Xenopus tropicalis: one gene and its partners. The protein of the gene in region 2 interacts with the protein of the main gene of each other region in a biochemical or structural test. Links are inferred from orthologs where the notes say so. Each region holds a gene or a part of one and is shown on either strand. Other genes may lie near its edges.

Region 1 (7,007 bases), on a different chromosome or scaffold from region 2:
ATGTTGATAATAAAAGCCATAAAAAATAGATTAGACTGACACAGAGCCAGATGGTTGGGTGCCCTGACAAGTAAATAGGAAAAAGTCCCACACATGCTCTTCAGGTTGCCTTTTATCTGGTCTCTACATAATGGGTCAATTGCTTCTAATTTAACCAAGGCTTTTAGTGCTATATTTAATAGCTGGGATGGTTATGAGTCAGCACATTTACTGGTGGGAAGGCTGGTCGTGCCCATTCCTGCGCAACCTGCATATGAGCGATGTGTATCGCACTCCATCAGCCGTAGTAGCTGTCACTCTGTCTACCTGCCACTCCAGAATGCATTTAGCTCTGGGCGTGGTAACGAGTAGCAGCTTGGAATGTGGTTTCATGCTATCTGGAACTGTTTTACCTGAGAACCTCGATGTTCTATAGAAAATAACAGCCCCTATTAGCAGATACATGGAGGACTTGCATCCATAAAATACAAACTATGCCAGCCTTCACACCAACAGAGCTATAAGCACAAGCATCTCAGCATGCAGTTATGGTGGATATTATATCCTGGGCTTCCAGACTATAACTGGGAGTTGGGCGGTGCAGACTACCTTGAATGTCCACAATAAAAACCATGTACTTTTCTTTCTTATGGTTACTTCCTAACCATAAACAGCTCAGGAATTGTTTGGTAACCCAAAGATCTAGCCTGTACTATTCCAATTACTATAACAACAAATCCAAAATATCTACATTTACAAGTTCTTTTAAGCATTTCCGTGAGAATTCAAAGAATGACTAGACATGGCTGACATAAACACATAGCTCCCTCACATGTTTCCACAATCCACAAATCCTCTAGATCTCTCTAGAACAGGTATTCTTAACATATGCATGGGGATCCAAAAATGGGACCCCATGCTGTTCTGGGTGGGTCTCTATTATCCTTCTAAATCTCTTTTAACAGCATTCATTTTAATAAAGTGCATTCTTGGGTTCCAAAGCAGAATACCAATTTTATCTGGGTCCCCCAAGAGAAATGCCAAGAACCCCATTTGTAGAAAATCTAGACAATTTATTTCCTCTATATGTGGATAATTCCTGGATATATCAGTCTTCTACATGAAAGTATTGCTCTCCTTATCCTGTCGTGTATCTTCTATGTTATATATACATACATGAGAAAAACAATGAAAATAAACAAAAAAAAAGCCTTACCTAAACCCACTAAGCCAAAACTATGTATATAATTTTTTCCATGGTGTAGTAAGTAGTAAAATATTACGCATGTCATCTTAATGGAATGCCTGTGGCCAAACCATATAAAGTTCCACATTCCTAATTAATGCTGGCTTTTGAGGAGCAGTAATCCCACCATTGCTGAACATCTCAAAGGCAATTTAGCAAAACCCACAGTCCCTCTGCCGGCATAAGACTACAGCGTTTAATTGCAAAGGAAAAGTTTGGAAGCCCAAGGAAACAGGACAGTGATGGATGAATGTTTTTGTTTATCTAAAAACACAACAGGCATTTAGCAGTTGATCTACAACACCCACTCACTTACCCAGCCTTGGCTATCCAGAAAAGTTTGCAAAACTTCCCACCCAAAATCAGAGCTCCATCCAAAATCTACTTTCCTCCCCATTACAGCCCCTCTTACACATAAACCTATGATTGTTATCCTATACAGAGGCACCCGCCCAATTTGTGTCCATTCAGAGCGGCCTCACACATAAACCCATAAACTCACCACTTTGTCATCTCCAGAGCTCCTCATCTAGGAGAAGACTTGCCAACCAATGCAGACACCCCATTACAAATCACAAGTACATTCATAGTTTCCCTTCTCAAGTCACCATCCAGAACAAGTCTGTGGCAAACTGCAATAACATCCAAAAGCCTCTTCCAAGTATTTCACTAACAAACATGTCTCACGTTGCCTAGCCTTTCCCAACTTGTTTATTAAATTCCTAACAACAGATAAAACATAACATGGAAGTGGTGCCCTTATTTGTATGAGCAGTTAGCGTAATATAAAGGACCACCCTGAGTCAATCTGATATAATATGCCACACATATGCACCCAGGGTGCAGGGTGCAGTTTAAAGTAGAGCATATAGAGCATTTACAATAAACTGATACATTCACCCAGTGTAACCCATGCACCCAGATTCAGATAGATAAAATGTCCCACACACATTCACCCAAGTCAGATAGATAGAAAGTCCCACCCACATGCACCCAAGTCAGATAGATAGAAAGTCCCACGCATATGCAGCCAAGTAAGATAGATGGAAAGTCCCACATACATGCACCCAAGTCAGATAGAAAGTTTAACGCTCATGCACCCAGGGTCAGACAGAATGGCCCACACACATGCACCCAGGGTCAGATAGATGGAAAGTCCCACACACATGCACCCAAGTCAGATAGATAGAAAGTCCCACATACATGCACCCAAGTCAGATAGATAGAAAGTCCCACACACATGCACCCAAGTCAGATAGATAGAAAGTCCCACATACATGCACCCAAGTCAGATAGATAGAAAGTCCCACATACATGCACCCAAGTCAGATAGATAGAAAGTCCCACATACATGCACCCAAGTCAGATAGATAGAAAGTCCCACACACATGCACCCAGACTGAGTTTGCTATATAGTTCTGCACACAAATACCCAGAGCCAGCCAGGGTCAGACTGATAGGAAGTGCCATACACACATAGAACCCAGCATTGGTTAGATATAAATGCTACACATTTGCACACTTTATTAACATTGCAGTCAATTGACAGACAGCTTGGACCTTCTTATACTGTTCTAGCAGTAGCGACCTGCATGCATTTATGTTTACATTGCTTTTGTATTGCCATTCAGTGCTTTACAGTATTAATAGGCACGGTGCCACATAAGGACACTATCCCACAGCATACGCTAGTGTTATACACAGAGATCTCCTGTACCAGTTCCAGAGACTGATGGAGGAAAACCAAAGTCTCATTTAGCACAGGTTCCATGGATGACGCAGAACAGGGGGATCCCCGACAATTCCACCGCCTCCTCCCCAGCCCTTTGACTGGCACACAGCCCTTGGTGAGAGAGTAAGGGGGTGGCACATGTTACCAAAGCCAGCAAGGATGGACTGTGCCAAGGAAAGGGACAGTGACAGCGTCCATTCATCTGACAGCCCAGCTCATCCCTTCCATTAATGGATTTTTGCTGAGGAGGGGGGGAGGTTTGAGTGGAAGCCTGGGAGCTTGTGGACTGAAGAGCAGGCATTGTGCCGCTTGTGCTGAAATCTGAGCACGGAGAGATTTTGTGTGCGCAGTAATAGGAAGGTAATTATCACCACTGCATTATCCAGCAGCCAAACCCTAGTGCACTGCAGATACCGACCTCAGACCACCCCTTCCCTGGGCTTCCCACCCTGTAAACATAAACACTACAACAATCCATACAATACTGCAGAGTCCCCATGGCACGGTGCTGCGTTGGGTGTCTTAACCCCTGCAGGGCACTCAAAGTGCCAATAAACTGCTGGGGGCTGCAGGGCAAACTGTATGACCCCCTTCCCCAATAAAACTTTAACTATACTAGTGCCATGAAATTGTGACCCTAGAGCCCAGATATTAGGCAAAAAGCAAATATTAAGGCAAAGGAAAAATAAACCTTGATGGCTGTGGCTGCACTTTATGGTAGCATCAAATATGAAACTCCTATTCTAACACACATTTAGCTGTATGGATAATAACCCAAGCAGCACACAGGGAGATGCTCAGAGCATCCTCCATACCCCATTGGACAGCCAAGAAGGACCACTTGCATTACAGAGTTCAATCCCCACACACAGGCAGCCGGCACATCTCAGGCACTTACCATGCAGCACAGGATAATAAACAGAGGGGTTTCCATGCTGATCCTATAAAGCTGATGGCTGAGGGCAGATAAGCAGATGCAGAATGCAGCTCTGTAGGATTCAGCAACACCTGCCCCTTAAGCCTTAAGAATCCATCCCCTTCTGCTTATGAAAACCACCCTCTTAGCTGTCCTCCCACCAGCAAGCCCAGTCATCCCCACAGGCCACGCCCACTGTCACCCACAGCCCCTCCCCTTCTACACTGAGAGCCTCTTGAACAAGCAAAGACTGGTGGTGGCAGGGATTGGATTTAGGGAAGGTTATTTGGATGGGAGCCCCATATACACTTAACTGCTCATTAGGAGACAGAAAAAAAGAAAAGGAAGAGGCAGCCTTTTTTATTCTCTTGATCTCCTCTTTATTGTCTTAGTGGGGCTTACTGTGCACACTTGGGGTTTGGCAGGAAGATAATAGAGCTTTTAAGCAATGGGCAGGGGGCACAGGTAATGGGAAGGGGTGCCAGGGGGAAGGCATTAGGCATTCTTGGAATTAGTCTGGGGGTGCCATTACATATCCTCAAGGGCAGATATCATACAACATCATGTATGGGGAGGGAGAACACTGAGCACTCTTGTCTTTAAATAAGTTTCTCTGTTTTCCCTTTGGGTTTGTAAAAAGCCTGTGTAACAGCAGAACTGTACTTACAGCTGCGCCTCTGCACACTGCTTCCATCTGTCTGCGCAGCAGCAGCCTGCAACGGGAAATAATCTGCCAAGCTGGCACTGTGGCACCACTGCAGTGCCCCCCGCCAAACCCAGGGCTGTAACTGCGATTATGGGTAAAGTCGGGCACGATGGTTTAAAGAAAGTTCTGTAACTGTGGGATAGTGGGAATGCATAGTACAGGTATCGGACCCCTTATCCGGAAACCCGTTATCCAGAAAGCTCCGAATTACGTAATGCCCGTCTCCCATAGATTCCATTTTAATCAAATAATTCAGAATTTTAAAACTGATTTCCTTTTTCTATGTAGAAATAAAACAGAACCTTGTAATTGATTCCAACTAAGATATAATTAATCCTTATTGGATGCAGAACAATCCTATTGGGTTTAATTAATGTTTTATTGATTTTTTAGTTGACTTAAGGTATTGAGATCCAAATTACGGAAATACCCTTGGTCCCGAGCATTCTGGATAATGGGTCCTATACCTGTATAGCAATTCATATGGTACAGGTATAGGACCCGTTATCCAGAATGCTCAGGACCAAGGGTATTCCAGATAAGGGGTCTTTCCGTAATTTGGATCTCCATACCTTAAGTCTACTAAAAAAATCTACTAAAACATTAATTAAACCCAATAGGCTTGTTTTGTATCCAATAAGGATTAATTATATCTTAACTGGAGTCAAGCAGAAGGTGCGGTTTTATTACTACAGGGAAAAATGAAATCATTTTTAAAATTCTGAATTATTTGATTAAAATGGAGTCTGTGGGAGACAGGCTTTCCGTAATTCGGAGCTTTCTAGATAACGGGTTTCCGGATAACGGATCCCATACCTGTATTATGTAGCATAAGGCAAAGTGGGTTCAGGCGAAGGGGCTGTAATAGGGAAAAGCTTATGTTGTGGCACAGTGTGTATAGTAAGGCAAGACAGCGTTGGGGCAGACGCTGTAACTGTAGCATTGTGTGTATAGCAAAGACAAAATATTTCAGCAAAATTTATATTAGGGCTGACTATTCTAAAACCTGGTTTGTAGATCAGACGAAGCTGCACTTATTAAGAATGTAAGCTCTTTGGTTCAGGTTCTCCAACCACCAAAGTCTTTAGCCTGCTTCTGTTGTTATTTACTGATATGTACAGGCTGACATGTATTTAAAGCAATATGTTAGGAATAAAGTCATGGCTGTCATGGCTGTAACTAGGGGACAGCAGTGTATAGACAATTATGCCCTGCAGCAGGAAAAACTGCTGCCAAAATAAGTGAGCAAGCTGCTCATTACCAGTGGCCCCTGGCCAAGCACCTCCCCCACCCTATTTACTAAATAAGCAAATGTATTTTGTGAGAAAGCTATCTCCATATGCAGTGAAAGCCAGGGAATAATGCTGGCCATACGTCAACCAGTTAAAATGGCCCCTGTATGGTACTCCTGGGAGGACCTGCCTGTCCAAACATCAGGTAAATATATTTTGGGCATTAATGCAGTTTTCACCTAATGGGTCTCCACAGTACCGCAGTATAATCCAATTGTCCCCTGCACCAAAGGTTGGATCAGCCCAATTTGGGCATGTACCTGGGTAGGCAAATTGGGCAAAGAGACGCTCATTTGGCAACCACACCATTATAAGGTCATCTTAAGTAAAGTCACTGGATTAAGTTGGTCAATTGGTGCTCATTGGCTACAAATGCCATAGTTTGCCTTTATGTGTAGACAAGTCTTTTAGTATCAGGGTCTCATGAGTTAAACAGCTGCAGGGGATTTGGGGTCTCTAAAGAGGAATCAGCCTTATAGGATTGCAATGGACGGATGTCTGGAATTTATGGCCTGGGGCATTTGGGGTTTGTCAGGAACAAGGCAGCAGTGGGCAGAGGGAAATCTGACTGTTCTCACCCAGTAAGGAAGGAAAATCCCACTGACCCATGTCCCTTGTTATGGCATTATTCTGGGGCCACAAAGAGCAAAGGCAGGCCAAATTAGATGAAATTATCCATCAAGCAGCCACATCCTCTCTGTAGCAAAGGGTTCTGGGAAGAAAAGGAAGCAGGCCTTTATAGCTGAATCCCAGAAACATACTTTCTGACAGTGATGAATTCAAGAGCCACCTCATAGAGATTTATAATGAAGCTAGGCAAAGGTGAACATTTAGCAGCACTGTTTTACATTTACAGGTATGGGATCCGGAAACCCGTTATCCAGAAAGTTCTGAATTATGGAAAGGCAATTTCCCATAGACTCCATTATAAGCAAATAATTTTAATTTAATAAAATAATTTCCTTTTTCTCTGTAATAATAAAACAGTACCTTGTACTTGATCCCAACTAAGATATAATTACCCCTTATTGGGGGCAGAACAGCCCTATTGGGTTTATTTCATGGTTAAATGATTCCCTTTTCTCTGTAATAATAAAACAGTACCTGTACTTGATCCCAACTAAGATATAATTACC
Region 2 (7,057 bases):
TCTTTACAAATTTTTCGTTACCAATACGATTTTTGCGTAAAAACGCGAGTTTTTCGTAGCCATTATGAAAGTTGCGTAAAATCTTGCGATTTTTCGTAGCGTTAAAACTTGCGCAAAAAGTTGCGCTTTTTTCGTAGCGTTAAAACTTACGCGAAACTTCGCACCTTTTAAGTTTTAACGCTACGAAAAAGGCGCAACTTTTCGCGTAAGTTTTAACGCTACGGAAAAATCGCAAGATTTTACGCAACTTTCGTAAAGGCTACGAAAAACTCGCGTTTTTACGCAAAAATCGTATTGGTAACGAAAAATTCGTAAAGACGCCGAAAAAATCGCAAAACATACGAAAAAGTCGCAAAATGTTCGTTTTCAAGTCGGAACTTTTCCAATTCGGGTCGGATTCGTGGGTTAGTAAATCAGCCCCTAGGTATCAGATGTGATAAGTGTATCTAGGCACCTCTGCAAATAGCAAAATGACTTAAATTGCATGTAATCTTGTGTTTGCAGCTACATGTGCCATAGTAGCCATAATAAGCTTGCATTTAAAATAGAACACACAATACATTGAAACTGATGGCAATTAATTAATAGTTTTGCCTAACAGAAAATGGACCCCTTCATTCCGATTAGATATTGAGATAAATATTTATTCCATTCAGTTAAGCTGTCTAAATCAATAAAAAAAGAACTGTATTTTAGGTCACTTTAGCATACGGCTCTCCAGTTGTTGTTATTTTAAAGCTCTCAACATCCCTCAACGAAAGGTAACTTTTAGGGGTTTCTGGGATTTGTAGTTCAGCCACAGGTTGAAGATCATTGTGTAACTAACATAATGCCAGCATGTGTTACAGCAGAATCTCCAATAAAAGAATACACTGACTTTTAAAATCAGTGCCATTTATTATTCTGAAGTTCGCTTTAGTAAAACCACTGACATAGGACACGTTTTAAATAAATGCAAATCCTCCTGACCTGGGAAAGGAACATAACTAATTACTGTAAAGTGAAGTCAAAGAATTACATTCCCCCTCTCCCACCTCTTTAAAATATACAGGAACTGACAAATTACACTCTAGAGTTTTGGGCTTCCTCCATATATGGGAAGATTACTTAGCTGGGGTTTGCCACTAGCTAAATGCAATGAATCTGTCCCTCATTTGATGGCAGACTAAACTATTCGTTTTACGTCAATCACTGTTATAGAAATGAGGCTGCCAAAATCTAAATATTCTTACCAAAGGTGTAATACCACTGATATTGTAATTTGTATGGGAAAAATATGACCATAAGTTCTATTTATAACACTTATAGTTCATATTTAAATATATATGTTTGTGTCAGTATATGTCAATATATGCTGTAGGGTTGGATCCACTGTTTATTTTTGTCTCTTACCTCAAGCATGATTTAAAATACATTGGTCACTCCTGACTACTCTTACTGCTCCTAAAGGTAGCCTCTAAGAAAAGAAACAGCGTCTAGGCTCTCCCATTATGCCTACTGCACAACCTTTCTCCCTCTGCTTTCCATCAGGCAGTGGTGCGCTGAGAGTCAAAAGATAGACTTGGCTGCTTTAGGTGTCTAGATGGGAGCTGCAGAGAGGACCACTTATGAAGGGAGTCAACAGCATAAATATAGCTAGGCATCTTCACCATATGACTATAATTTATGGTATACATTTTCAGCGACTTCACAAAGTACAGTACATTTTATACATTATATAACAGTGCTTTAGATACCTCTATTGTAGGTAGCATAAACCTCATACTGCCATATATGTAGTATGGTTGCACAGAGGTTAATAATAGTTGGCAAGGAATCCAGGTTAGTATGGGAACAATCCAATCCTTCAAGCTGTCTCTGTTACTTTCGTCTGCAACAGACTTTTATTTATAAAAAAAAAGTAATATGTGCCTTTGGCATCAACAACATTGATGTTTCCAGGCTTGTGCTGTGTACAATAGAACAATTGCTATGGAAGCTATGGATATAACACTGTCCCCAGTTACTGAACAGCTGAGCCCCCAGTGTACAGTAGGCAAAACTATCAGGTCCTTCCAATATCATTGCCTGCTTTTTTTTAAAAAAAAAGTCACATGTCTTACCCCAATAAAGCTGTCCTGAGCCACCACCCCTCCAGTTAACATTCTTTACAAATATACATATTCTACAAATATACATATTCTGGCAGGTAATGTAAGACACATCTGTACAAAGAGAAGGTTAACAGATGTGATAAACTCTATCTAATCCTACCTAATACTCTGCCGTGTTGCCTTAATTCACCTCTTATTTGGCACCTACAGCAATCTGAAAAGTCTAACATCAATGAAGGCATGATTGGCAGTTTGACAGATATTTTCCAAATTGTTTCTATGCAATTATTGTTATCAACAAATGTAACAGACAATATTCAGTGATTATAAATGATAGTAAAATATCAACAAAGATAACATTCACTATATCTACAGCATTTCTGGTGGAAGCTTGGTAAAAGGACATGTTGTTTACTCAATGCCTAACAAATAAGTATAAGACAAATATAATATCACATCTGCTTCGTATACACCATCTGTTTAACATGATTGCCTTGCATGGCTCTAGTAATGCAGACAACACATCAAAATATGTGCAGACAATTCTGTGTTTGTGGTGGTGGAAGAGAAACAGAATGTTGGTGTTAAGAATTGCACTCTAAGATATTATTATTGTTTTTATTCTTAACAAGTATTTATAAAGCACCAACATATTCTGCAGCATTGTACAATAGAAGGGCAAAATTTACAACCAGTAACTGATGCAAATGGTAAAGTGGGCCCTAATCAATAGAGCTTACAATCTAAAAGGAGAATGGGTAGTTGTAAAGTGTGCACTTTTTTGTCAGGTATTGCAATGTACACTGTATAAAAGAATTACAGAGCTCTTCATGTAGCTGAAATCTGGCAGCCTTGGCTTTGGCTAATACTCTACAAGCCTTAACGTAATGCAGTTTAATGCGTGAAAACACCCAAGGTTTATCCCATAAGAAGTTACATTACTATCCGGCAGCTTTGCAGGCTTCACATTAGCAATCAACAAAGATTAAGGAGCATAGGAACCAAGTCACAACAAGCAAGTCCTCGTCTGTTCCGCACCGACCTTAAATGCTTAATAACAGCCAAGGGGTTAAACAGAACTGAGGATTTACTGTACGCTTAATACTAATATGGCATGCTTGGAATGCCTGCAAAATATTTTTTTCTGTTATAGCTCATTAAGTAAGATTTGTAGAATGTAGATCATGAAGGTGAGCTTGTATATGGTTAATTTTTTTTGTCCCATATGATCTTCTACACACACTCCTATCCAAGTGCAAGTAATAGCATCAGACAAAGTCTTCAATGCTATGTTAACTAGAGAGGCATGTCTTGTAACAGGAACACATTTTAGCACTCCGCACCTTATACATGGGAAACATATGCAAGAGCCAGAAACTTACTCTACAAGTTCATATATTGAAAAATCAGCAAATATGTAAAAATCTGATATAGCAAACAACCACCTGTTGTATTATAAAAAAAAAAACTGATTCAAGACAATTTGCATTCTAGTAGGTCATGGACCACGCATATTATTTGATCTAATCTGAATGTCTTAAAGAGCCCAATACATACAGTAAAGGTATAAGCTTGTGTCTTGCAAAGCTTACAATTTCATCAAACTCATTTCATAACAATGGTTCACCTGCTGCTTTCTTAATTTATTGCTTCCCTAAACCCAGTCTGTCTCCAAATGAGAGAGTAAAAATCCACAGCAGTAATATGCACACTACTTTCAAAAGACAGGCACTTTATGTCTTCAAATGGTAAGTCTAATTCCATTATTACAGAAGTTATTGCGACAGACGTGGCAGGGTTAGGAGTGCCCCATAATTACCTGCAAGGGGGTTACCCTAAAGCACACACTTTGTTTAGATGGTGCTTAAACTACATGAAAAAACATCCTTTTATTATACGCTTCAGTACGTCTGTAGTAATCAAAATCCAAAGTTTACGTTTAATAAACAGAGTCAGTATTTACATAGAGGAGAGTTTAGGTAGATGCTTACCTGTGCTGCAGAGTGTCTGTCGATCACAAGAAGGTAAAATCCTGGCTAAACCAGTTATTTTGTAGCCTCTTGTATCCTAGTCCACAAAATGCTTTGAAACCCAGCTGAGCCATTCACATGTCTGTTCTCATTCACTGGTTTCAGGAGCTCCAGTACTAGGGCTGACTCATAAGGCAGCACATTTCCTCTAGGTCCTAGTGCCTTTCTGAAAGAAACCAGGTGTGTTTCACATTCTTCTCTCTGCTGCACTTCTAGTGAAATTTCAATTTCAGTTTAAGAAGAGTTTAGGGAATTAGTTACAGAATGGAAACTCATCACTTTAGTCCGTCATAATGTAAATCTCTAATGGATTCTCTCTTAATCTACATGGGAAAAGCTGATAATAACCCCTAGAGCGATGGCAAAGTTTAAACTAGGATTATGCCTCAGCCTATCACCATCAAGCCTGTGCTGGTGTTTTTAAGTGCTCAACACACCGACTGATTGAAACCCTTTGAAGGGATTTTTCTACTTTAAAAGGGGGCAATGTGCCCCCCTGAAGTAGATATTTTTTCAATATCATCTCTTTGTTATGTGACTCTTTTCAGTTGTAAAAAAAATATATATCACATTTAGGTATTCCTTTAAGAGAAGAATTAAATATTTCCTGTGTGAGGCATTACCTACTGAATTAAAATCCTCATCATATAATAATTTACATATTGAGTAAAGGTTTTATATTAAAACATTAACATTTAGTTAAAAATTATCACCAGAAAAAAATCATTTTACATGATTAATAGAATTAAATAAAAAGTAATAGATAATCATCCTCAATACTATCTTGAGGTATGACATTTTATAATGGAGGTGGTAGTGATAGTCAGTGTGCAATGTCCTCAGTATCTGAAGCTGCAGTAGGGCAGGATGGGAGTGCAAAACCCCTGTAGAATTGCCCATTATCACCATGAGCAAACCAGCTCCTTTGTAGAAATATACAGAAGAGTTGGCAGAAATAATTGCTGCCCTTTTTTGATAGGGTTAGATGGCAGTCTTTTTTACGACTAAACATTATAGCAATCAGACATGGCAGAATTTATACTCCAGGGCTCTGGGGTGTGTGGCTATAAGCAGGATATATATAACTGCTACCATCTGGCCACTGGGGAGCACTGTTTCATTACAGTATATAGATGACGTCATATTTTTTTTCAGATTATCCAGTATGGGAATATGTAGTTAAATAAGGTTCCCCATGCAGAATAACCTGTGCCTGGATGTATCTATACTTAACTTGTTATTCTGTCTCTGTAGATTCTTTGCATTGAGAAATGTATCTGTAAATCTTTTCATAGAAGATCTTTTCATAGATGGCAACACATTTCCCAAACAGAAGTACATGTTTCCTTTGCAATCCTCACTTCATGATAAAGCACGATGAAGGGGAAACTGCTTCACCCATCCTGCTAAAGATAATATAGGAAACACTGTATACCGGAAAGGAATGTAACATTTTCATATGTGTTTCTTAAAACACTGTAGTGGCACCAAAGACCTCCATGAGCACCAATATGGTATAAAGTACATGGTGAATGTTGTTTCATATGAGAAACTGTAGATAATGTAATTGCAGTGGCCATTTACACATAGTATATAAAGGAGTATAAGAAGTATCATTTCTTGTTTGTTTATATTCCAAAGCATCAAGACGCACCCTTTACAAAAACTTCTCAAGACCAGGTTCAGAAAAGCGGAGCCATAAGTGCTTCCCATCAATCTTATATCCATAGTTGCTGCTAGGTCTATTTGGAAAGAGAAAACATTATAGTATACTGTATTGGTATCTTCTGTAAGGCTTTCTTTCTCAGTGATATATTGTTCCTAAAGTTGTGTTATCCACATAAATACAACAGATCTTAAGGGGAGTATGTGAGTTAGAAACATAGAAGGGATGAGATAAAGTGGCAAAGGGAGAGAAAGGTAGGAGAAGTCAAATGCAATTTGGTCATAAAATTAAGTACGTTTCCCAATATTAGGCACACCTGATTAAATGAAATTACAGGTATGGGACCCCTTATCCCTTATTTCCTTTTTCTCTGTAATAATAAAACAGTAGCTTGTTCTTGATCCCAACTAAGATATAATGAATCCTTATTGGAGCCAATCCTATTGGATTTAATTACTGTTTAAATAATTTTTTAAGTAGACTTAAGGTAGGAGATCTGAATTACGGAAAGACCCCTCATCCAGAAACCCAGGTTCCGAGCATTCTGGATAACGGGTCCCATGCCTGTACTGATATAGCACTGTGCACGTGGCATCCAACATCATTTATTGCACCTACAATGGAGTAGCATCAGGCGCAAGAATCCAACTGCACCTATCTTAGGCATTGCCAGACAGTGGTATCATACAGGACTTTTTTGTATTTGTTTAAATTAACTTTTAAGCAGTAAACATATAATTAAGTCATCCTTACTTTGTTTTTCTTACCTTAAATGGAGGTTTCCCTAGTTGCATTTTAGCCTTACATACAATACCTTTGTCTCTGTCTTATGTCTTCTCTTTGTCTTCTATCTTCTCTCATAGCCCCCTGTAGAGTTTTAATGTTAAGATATAGGACCTAGTGGATGAATGTTATTGTGTGAGCAGCAAAGTTATATATTGAAAAAAGCTATAGAAGAAGAGTGTTCATGTGCACAATACAGCAGGAAATGTTTAAATTAAATCTCGTCCCCTGAACCACATCACTTCAGGGGACATAAGAATAGTGGAAGCAGACGCTGCAACTGCTGGGGGGGGGGGGGGGTGGTATCTAAAACAGTAGAGTGCTCAGTGTAGTCCTGAGTGTCGAGTAATTAATATACAGTTGTAAGAAAGTTAATCCTTATGTTGTAACTTGGGCCTAAAATAATTTCACGGCCCAATAAATTCTAGTTATGCCACTAAGCGCAATGCAAGTACTTATAAAGATAGACATGAATTTCTATAGAC
Region 3 (6,263 bases), about 18 Mb from region 2:
GTAACCTGTTATGTATAATAATTGTGTTCTTAACTTGCCTATAATATTGGATTTTCACTCTCACAATTGAGATTTAAGTTTCAATAAGTTCAATAATCAAAATAAATTCCAATAAAATTAGGATTTATCAATCTTACTGAACAAATACATGCACGGAATCAGTATGCGAGATGCCAGGCTCCCCCCTACTGCCTCCTCTAGCAGGGTCACCTAGAGAAGTAATCACTCATTAATGCCTTGCTTCTCAACCTGTCTATCAAAAGGAGCACATCATAAACTGAGAGGATTCAACTTGAGGTTTACTTCAAGGAGCTCCCTCCCTCTTCACCTCAATAGCATGCAGGCTTGATGTTCCGTTGCCTGCCTGCCTGCTTCAAACAGTTCCATTCCTGCCTGCTTGTAAAGGCTCTCCCTCCCCCTCCCCATTAGACACAGACACCGAAGCTGAAAGCAGGGAGCGTGTGATGTCACGCCAGGGGGCGGGGCAAGGAACCAGGAAGGAGCGGAGCACAGAAGAGCACACAGGGAATCAGGTAGCAGAGGGTGTTAATTGGAGCGACTCGAGTATAAGCCGAGGGTTAATTTTTCAGCACATTTTGGGAGCTGAAAAACTTGGTTAATACTCGAGTATATACGGTATGTTGTAAATGTTAGTTATCCTATGATTAAGTACCCTATTGGTACGAAACGCGTAAGGCTTTTGTTTTTTTTTTAAACACAAGATTATTTGCCCCAAGTTTTTAAAGGAGAAGAAAAGGAGTAGCTAGAATAGGCGGTGACAGTGTGTTAGGCACCTCCCAGTTATTATACCTCCGAACTAGGCACGGGGTGCTGTTATTCTTGATCCCTGTATCAGCAATCCCTTATGGCTGCCCTGGCTGTTTTGGATTTGGCAAAGGGTTTCGGGTAAATCCTAATATGCAAATTTGAATTTCTGGGAGAAAGAATTGTCAATTTCCAAGTAACGTGGTCTAAATTCATCTTTCTACCAGGCACTTGAATTGTACCAAAAAAGGCTTGGATTCGGCAGACTCCCAAACCGAATAGTGTATCCCTACTTCGCATTAAATATATAATATTCTCCCTAAATTTTGTACTTAAGGTTCATGGAACATATTCTTAAATGACATGTAAACCCCCCACACACAAATGTAATCAGTGAACAGCCTCTTTTCAAAACCTGCCACTGGTTGTCCAGAGGTTAATAGTAAAGGTAGGCATACACGGGCCAATTGTAGCTGCCGATATCTGTCCCTTGTTCCCTTTACCAAAGAACAATATAGGAAAGTATGCTTTCATCGTTTTGCATATATAACTTTTTTTTTAGTTTTGTTTCTTTAATCATATAAAGATATGCGAACGCTTTGTAATTCAACGTGTATCTGATAAAAATCAGGTTGTTAATACAACCTCAGGCTTTTCCTATGTAAATATATGGTAGTATAGGTATGAGACCTGTATCCAGAACGCTCAGGAGTCTATTGGATATGGCCTTCAAAGCTTTCTGGATAGCAGGTTTCCGGGTAACAGATCCTATAACTGTACTATATATCTGTTCAAATGAGAGAAAACCTCATTCACACTATACACCAGAAAATGTGAACTGAGGTGTGCCCTGATGAAGTCCTGGGCACTGCAGAAGTTCTTTCTTTCGGTACTTGTGATACATGTCCTGTACCGCATATCTAATTGGGTTTTTTTTAATTATGTTTTTATATTTGCATAGTTCAAGTTCATAGTTCATACATCAGTAATGAGTGTTATTCATTTTTCAGCCTTCTGAATACATTTATAGCTTCAGTATTTTCATTTGATAAGGAAAAATGTGCATACTCGGCATCCAAAAATTAAGGCATTTTGAACATGCTTAATTCTTTAGCGAACACCAGGGGACCCAGGCACTCACCCCCTTTTTACTTATAATTTTTTTGAAATGCATAGTATTCATAGCATTTACATGCCTTTTTTTCTTCTTTAGATTACATTTGGCCTGTTTTTCCCCAGGAAATTATGCACAATAGTCTGTGCATACTTTGCAAATTTGCTGATTTTCTGTCTACATTGAACTGAATTTCTAAACAGTACATTGCTTTGTTTTACAACAGACTTTCTGCAGGTGCAAAACAGTACAACCTTTCACACTATCTTAGAATTTGCCAAGATAAAGGCTTTAAGGGGATGTAAACCCAAAAAACTACATTTTGCCTAATAAAAGAAAATTTAATTTCTTTTTTCCATCAGCAATATACTGTGGTTTTGACTGACAGACCACAGTATGTTGTTAGTAAAAACACCTCTAGAATCCTAAGACTGAGTACAGGCTGTGTGCTTGCTCGGCTAACATATGACTGCATTGCTAAATTCAATTCTAGCTACATTATCAAGTTCACAGATCACACAACAGTATATCTGTTTTGACAATTAGTTTCAAGAGACAGAACTTGTAGTTTAGAAAGGGACACAAAAATACTACTTTCAGTTGCAATTCTGTTTTTGTTGTGGATATATATTGGAAAGTTGCTTAGAATGTAAATTAACATTTTTTTGTCTTTAATGAATGTAATTAAAAGCTGTCCTCTTTATAACCCATATATTAATTAATCTGGCTCATCATTTTTTCAATAACCGCTTTATTTTGTAAATCCTCATCATCTTAGGGCTGCATTTTTAGATCAGTTCCATTTATATGGCTACAATAAGATGTATTTATCCCCATGAGAGACTTAAATCCGATACACTAAATTTAGCTACAGTTAGACCATCTGACACTGGCAAAGATTAAAGTGAAGTAGAAGTATAGAAGCCTTCTTTTTAATTATGCTGTTTTCTAGGTCTGTTCATTGTTACCAAGCTGTAATATTTTACTGTTTTCCTTCAGGTTCTCCATAGATGAGGGCCAGTGCTGGTTCTATTACAAGTTCACGAATGATTCTTTCATATTTACTGGCCTAGCATCTGAGCCAGGTGCTCTTTCTCTGAATGTGACCATATGGGGATATCAGCCTGGTGTTATTCGCCACATCTGGATGTCTTACACTATTGATTTTGCTCATCTTTTACACAAAGACTGTGAGTCTTCTAGAATTTGGTTTTCCTGATGTTCTGTGTCATTGATACACTTCTTTTAGGGCACATTTTTTTCACTGTAGTGTATACCAGAAAAAACAGAAGCAGAATAATCAAATCACTTCCCATCATAGGTAATAGAAATTATTGTAAAAAAAGGTTGGAAAACAGATTATAGATCTTATAGATAATGGATTTTTAACTTAGAAAATTCATGGTTTTACAGTGAAAAATGGCATAAATGCTGCTGTTATTTATTGCATTTTTCTCTTGCACTTGACCACTTGTCATATGATTATACCTGTATTTAGCAAATAAGGTTAAAAAACATTTTCACATTAACATTTATTCCTCCAATCTTGTCTTATTTGTTTTACTCATGTCACCTATAATGGACTTTTGTGATGCGTGACATGGTCGTTTCTGTTCAGGTGAAGAAAAGGATTACATTTTGTGGCTGGCACACTCAACTGATCCTCAGGCACCTTTGGATGGTTGTGTTTTGGGATACAAGGAGCAGTATTTTCGGCTACGCAAATCTTCAGTGTGCCAGAATGGGCGTGATTATACAGTGAGCAAAGTACACACACCTTGTGCTTGCACCCTGGATGACTACATGTGGTACTGATGCTCGTGTTTATTCATATCTTAAAACATCCAATGTAATCAGCTTAAAGGACACCTCCAGAGATATCCAATCTCTTTTCTTTCTTGTCAGCGATTTTGGTTATTATCGTAACGAGAATGAATCAGAGTGTGTGGAGCAGTCAGAGCTAAAGGGACAGGAACTGGATCTGTGTGTATATGGAGAAGAAGAGAAGCTTACCACTAGTGGGTAAGTACATTGCACAGACCAAAACAATATGGCAAGGTATCATCTACTACTATTATAGAGATAATTGGTCAGATTCAGATCAATGAGAATATAGCATAAAAACTTATGGACGAGATACAGTTTTTCTCCTTATTCATTTTTAGTTTTTCCGATAGACTTAGGGGCTGATTTACTAAGACACGATTTCGAATCCGAATTGGAAAAATTCAGATTGGAAACGAACATTTTGCGACTTTTTCGGTAATTTTGCGATTTTTTTCGTATTTTTTGCGATTTTTTTCGTATTTTTTGCGATTTTTTTCGGTGTCTTTACGATTTTTGCGTAAAAACGCGAGTTTTTCGTAGCCATTGCGAAAGTTGCGCAAAGTCGCGATTTTTTCGCAGCGTTAACACTTGCGCGCAAAGTCGCGCCTTTTTCGTAGCGTTAAAACTTAAAAGGCGCGACGTTTCGCGCAAGTTTTAACGCTACGAAAAAATCGCGACTTTGCGCAACTTTCGTAATGGCTACGAAAAACTCGCGTTTTTACGCAAAAATCGTAAAGACGCCGAAAAAATTGCAAAAAATACGAAAAAATCGCAAAATTACCGATCATTACGAAAAAACCGCAATCGGACGCATATGGCCCATTCGTGGGTTAGTAAATGTGCCCCTTAGAGTTTTAATGTGGTAAACAGTGAGATAAGTTTTGTTAAGTTTAGGTAAGTATATATATATATATATATATAACAATACTGTCACTGCACTCATCCATAGTGCGAACCCCGGAGCACACGGGTTATTTGCAAAAAAGTGTATTAAAAAGAATCACATATGCGACGTTTCGGACAAAACACATGCCCTTTATCAAGCCTGTAATAACGCGATCCATCCAGTGAATCGCATTTAAAGGGATATACAGGAAATGACATCATAGACTAAGCGTTCCCATAGCGATTCATTTCAAGTCATAGTATACATTTTACATATACAGGACGTTGTCAGTCAAATAGCAGCATCTTATATAGAAAAAATGTGCAGTTGCATACAAATACTTACAAAAAGAGAAACAAATCATAATCCCTGTTCAATCCAATAGGAAAAAGCGATTGTAATTTATTAATCCACCACACCTCCCTTTGTTTCAGCCTAAATTCCCTGTCACCTCCTCTTTTTAGAGGTGGTATAGATTCCAATACCATGAACCTGAGCTGTTCTGCAGTGTGGCCCTTTTCACAAAAATGCTTAGACACCAGTAATGTAGTATTTCCAAGATTAATAGTTGATCGATGTTGTCATATACGGGATTTTACCATCTGTGTGGTCTCACCCACATAGATGAGACCACACGGACAGATCAACACATAAATTGCATATTTTGTTACACATGTGAAGTGCCCCCGTAATTGTACCTTTTGAGGCACCCCCTATGATATCATACCGTAGAGGGAGAACTACACTTTTCTAGGAGCAAAAAGGAAGTTGTTTTGTGCATCCAAAAACAGGTCAGAAGGTACAATTATGGTTGTAAATGTGATTCACTGGATGGATCGCGTTATTACAGGCTTGATAAAGGGCATGTGTTTTGTCCGAAACGTTGCATATGTGATGTGATTCTTTTTAATACACTTTTTTGCAAATAACCCGTGTGCTGCATCTTTTTCAAGTTTTATATATATATATATAATCTATATATTATTGTTACTGGTGTAAGAGTGCTGCATTACGTGACTAAAAAGTCTAATGAACTGTATAGTATATATGAAAATGTTGCTGTAAAGTATTTTTTATTTTAAACTGTTTTTTAGAGAATGCTATGTTTTGGTAAAGAAAGAATTATACTGTTTAGAACTGCGAACAATTTAAATAATTGATCCTTTACTGTGACCCAAAATTGTGTTACTCTGCTATAGAGGTTGGGTTTCAGTCATTCATCTAGGAAAATTTTACTGATAGAGATAAAAATATTTGTTTTTAAACCAAATTTTGGGTCGCAACATAATTTGTGTCCCCTGAAAAAAGAGGTTATGAATTACCTAAATTCTTGGTAACTTGTGGAAGTTCTGCAGTACAGAACAAATTATGCAGGTGACTGAAACCCTTTTATTCAGGAAACCAGTATGGAGAATTCTCTTCATTACAGCTAGGAAAAAGCATTGATTTTAAGCAAATAATTCTAATTTTCTTTAAAGGTGAATTATTATATGAACACGTGTAATATAAGGTTCATCTCATGGAAATTAAAAACTTGACTAGATTGTATAGCAGATGTCACATAACCATGTAACACCTCCTATATACAGTCTAATCTCAAGCATCATTTGTACAGATCTGATCTGGTGTCTCTTTACTGTCATTTTTACCCACAACATGTAGTTATCGAAA

The links.
Region 1: the proteins of ngf (region 2) and ngfr form a complex in vitro, tested with the Homo sapiens proteins (2 studies listed by BioGRID and IntAct, with this or other methods). The link is inferred for Xenopus tropicalis from reciprocal best matches to the Homo sapiens genes NGF and NGFR.
Region 3: the proteins of ngf (region 2) and sort1 form a complex in vitro, tested with the Homo sapiens proteins (3 studies listed by BioGRID and IntAct, with this or other methods). The link is inferred for Xenopus tropicalis from reciprocal best matches to the Homo sapiens genes NGF and SORT1.

What each region holds. Positions count from the first base shown.
Region 1 is NC_030686.2:14,204,090-14,211,096, reverse strand, and holds the start of ngfr (tumor necrosis factor receptor superfamily member 16), read right to left. Parts: upstream 4,004-7,007; 5' UTR 3,892-4,003; coding exon 3,856-3,891; intron 1-3,855. UniProt on the Homo sapiens protein: Low affinity receptor which can bind to NGF, BDNF, NTF3, and NTF4. Forms a heterodimeric receptor with SORCS2 that binds the precursor forms of NGF, BDNF and NTF3 with high affinity, and has much lower affinity for mature NGF and BDNF.
Region 2 is NC_030678.2:52,932,549-52,939,605, reverse strand, and holds the start of ngf (beta-nerve growth factor precursor), read right to left. Parts: upstream 4,136-7,057; 5' UTR 4,085-4,135; intron 1-4,084. UniProt on the Homo sapiens protein: Nerve growth factor is important for the development and maintenance of the sympathetic and sensory nervous systems.
Region 3 is NC_030678.2:71,416,612-71,422,874, reverse strand, and holds part of sort1 (sortilin), read left to right. Parts: intron 1-2,878; coding exon 2,879-3,069; intron 3,070-3,497; coding exon 3,498-3,687; intron 3,688-3,784; coding exon 3,785-3,901; intron 3,902-6,254; coding exon 6,255-6,263.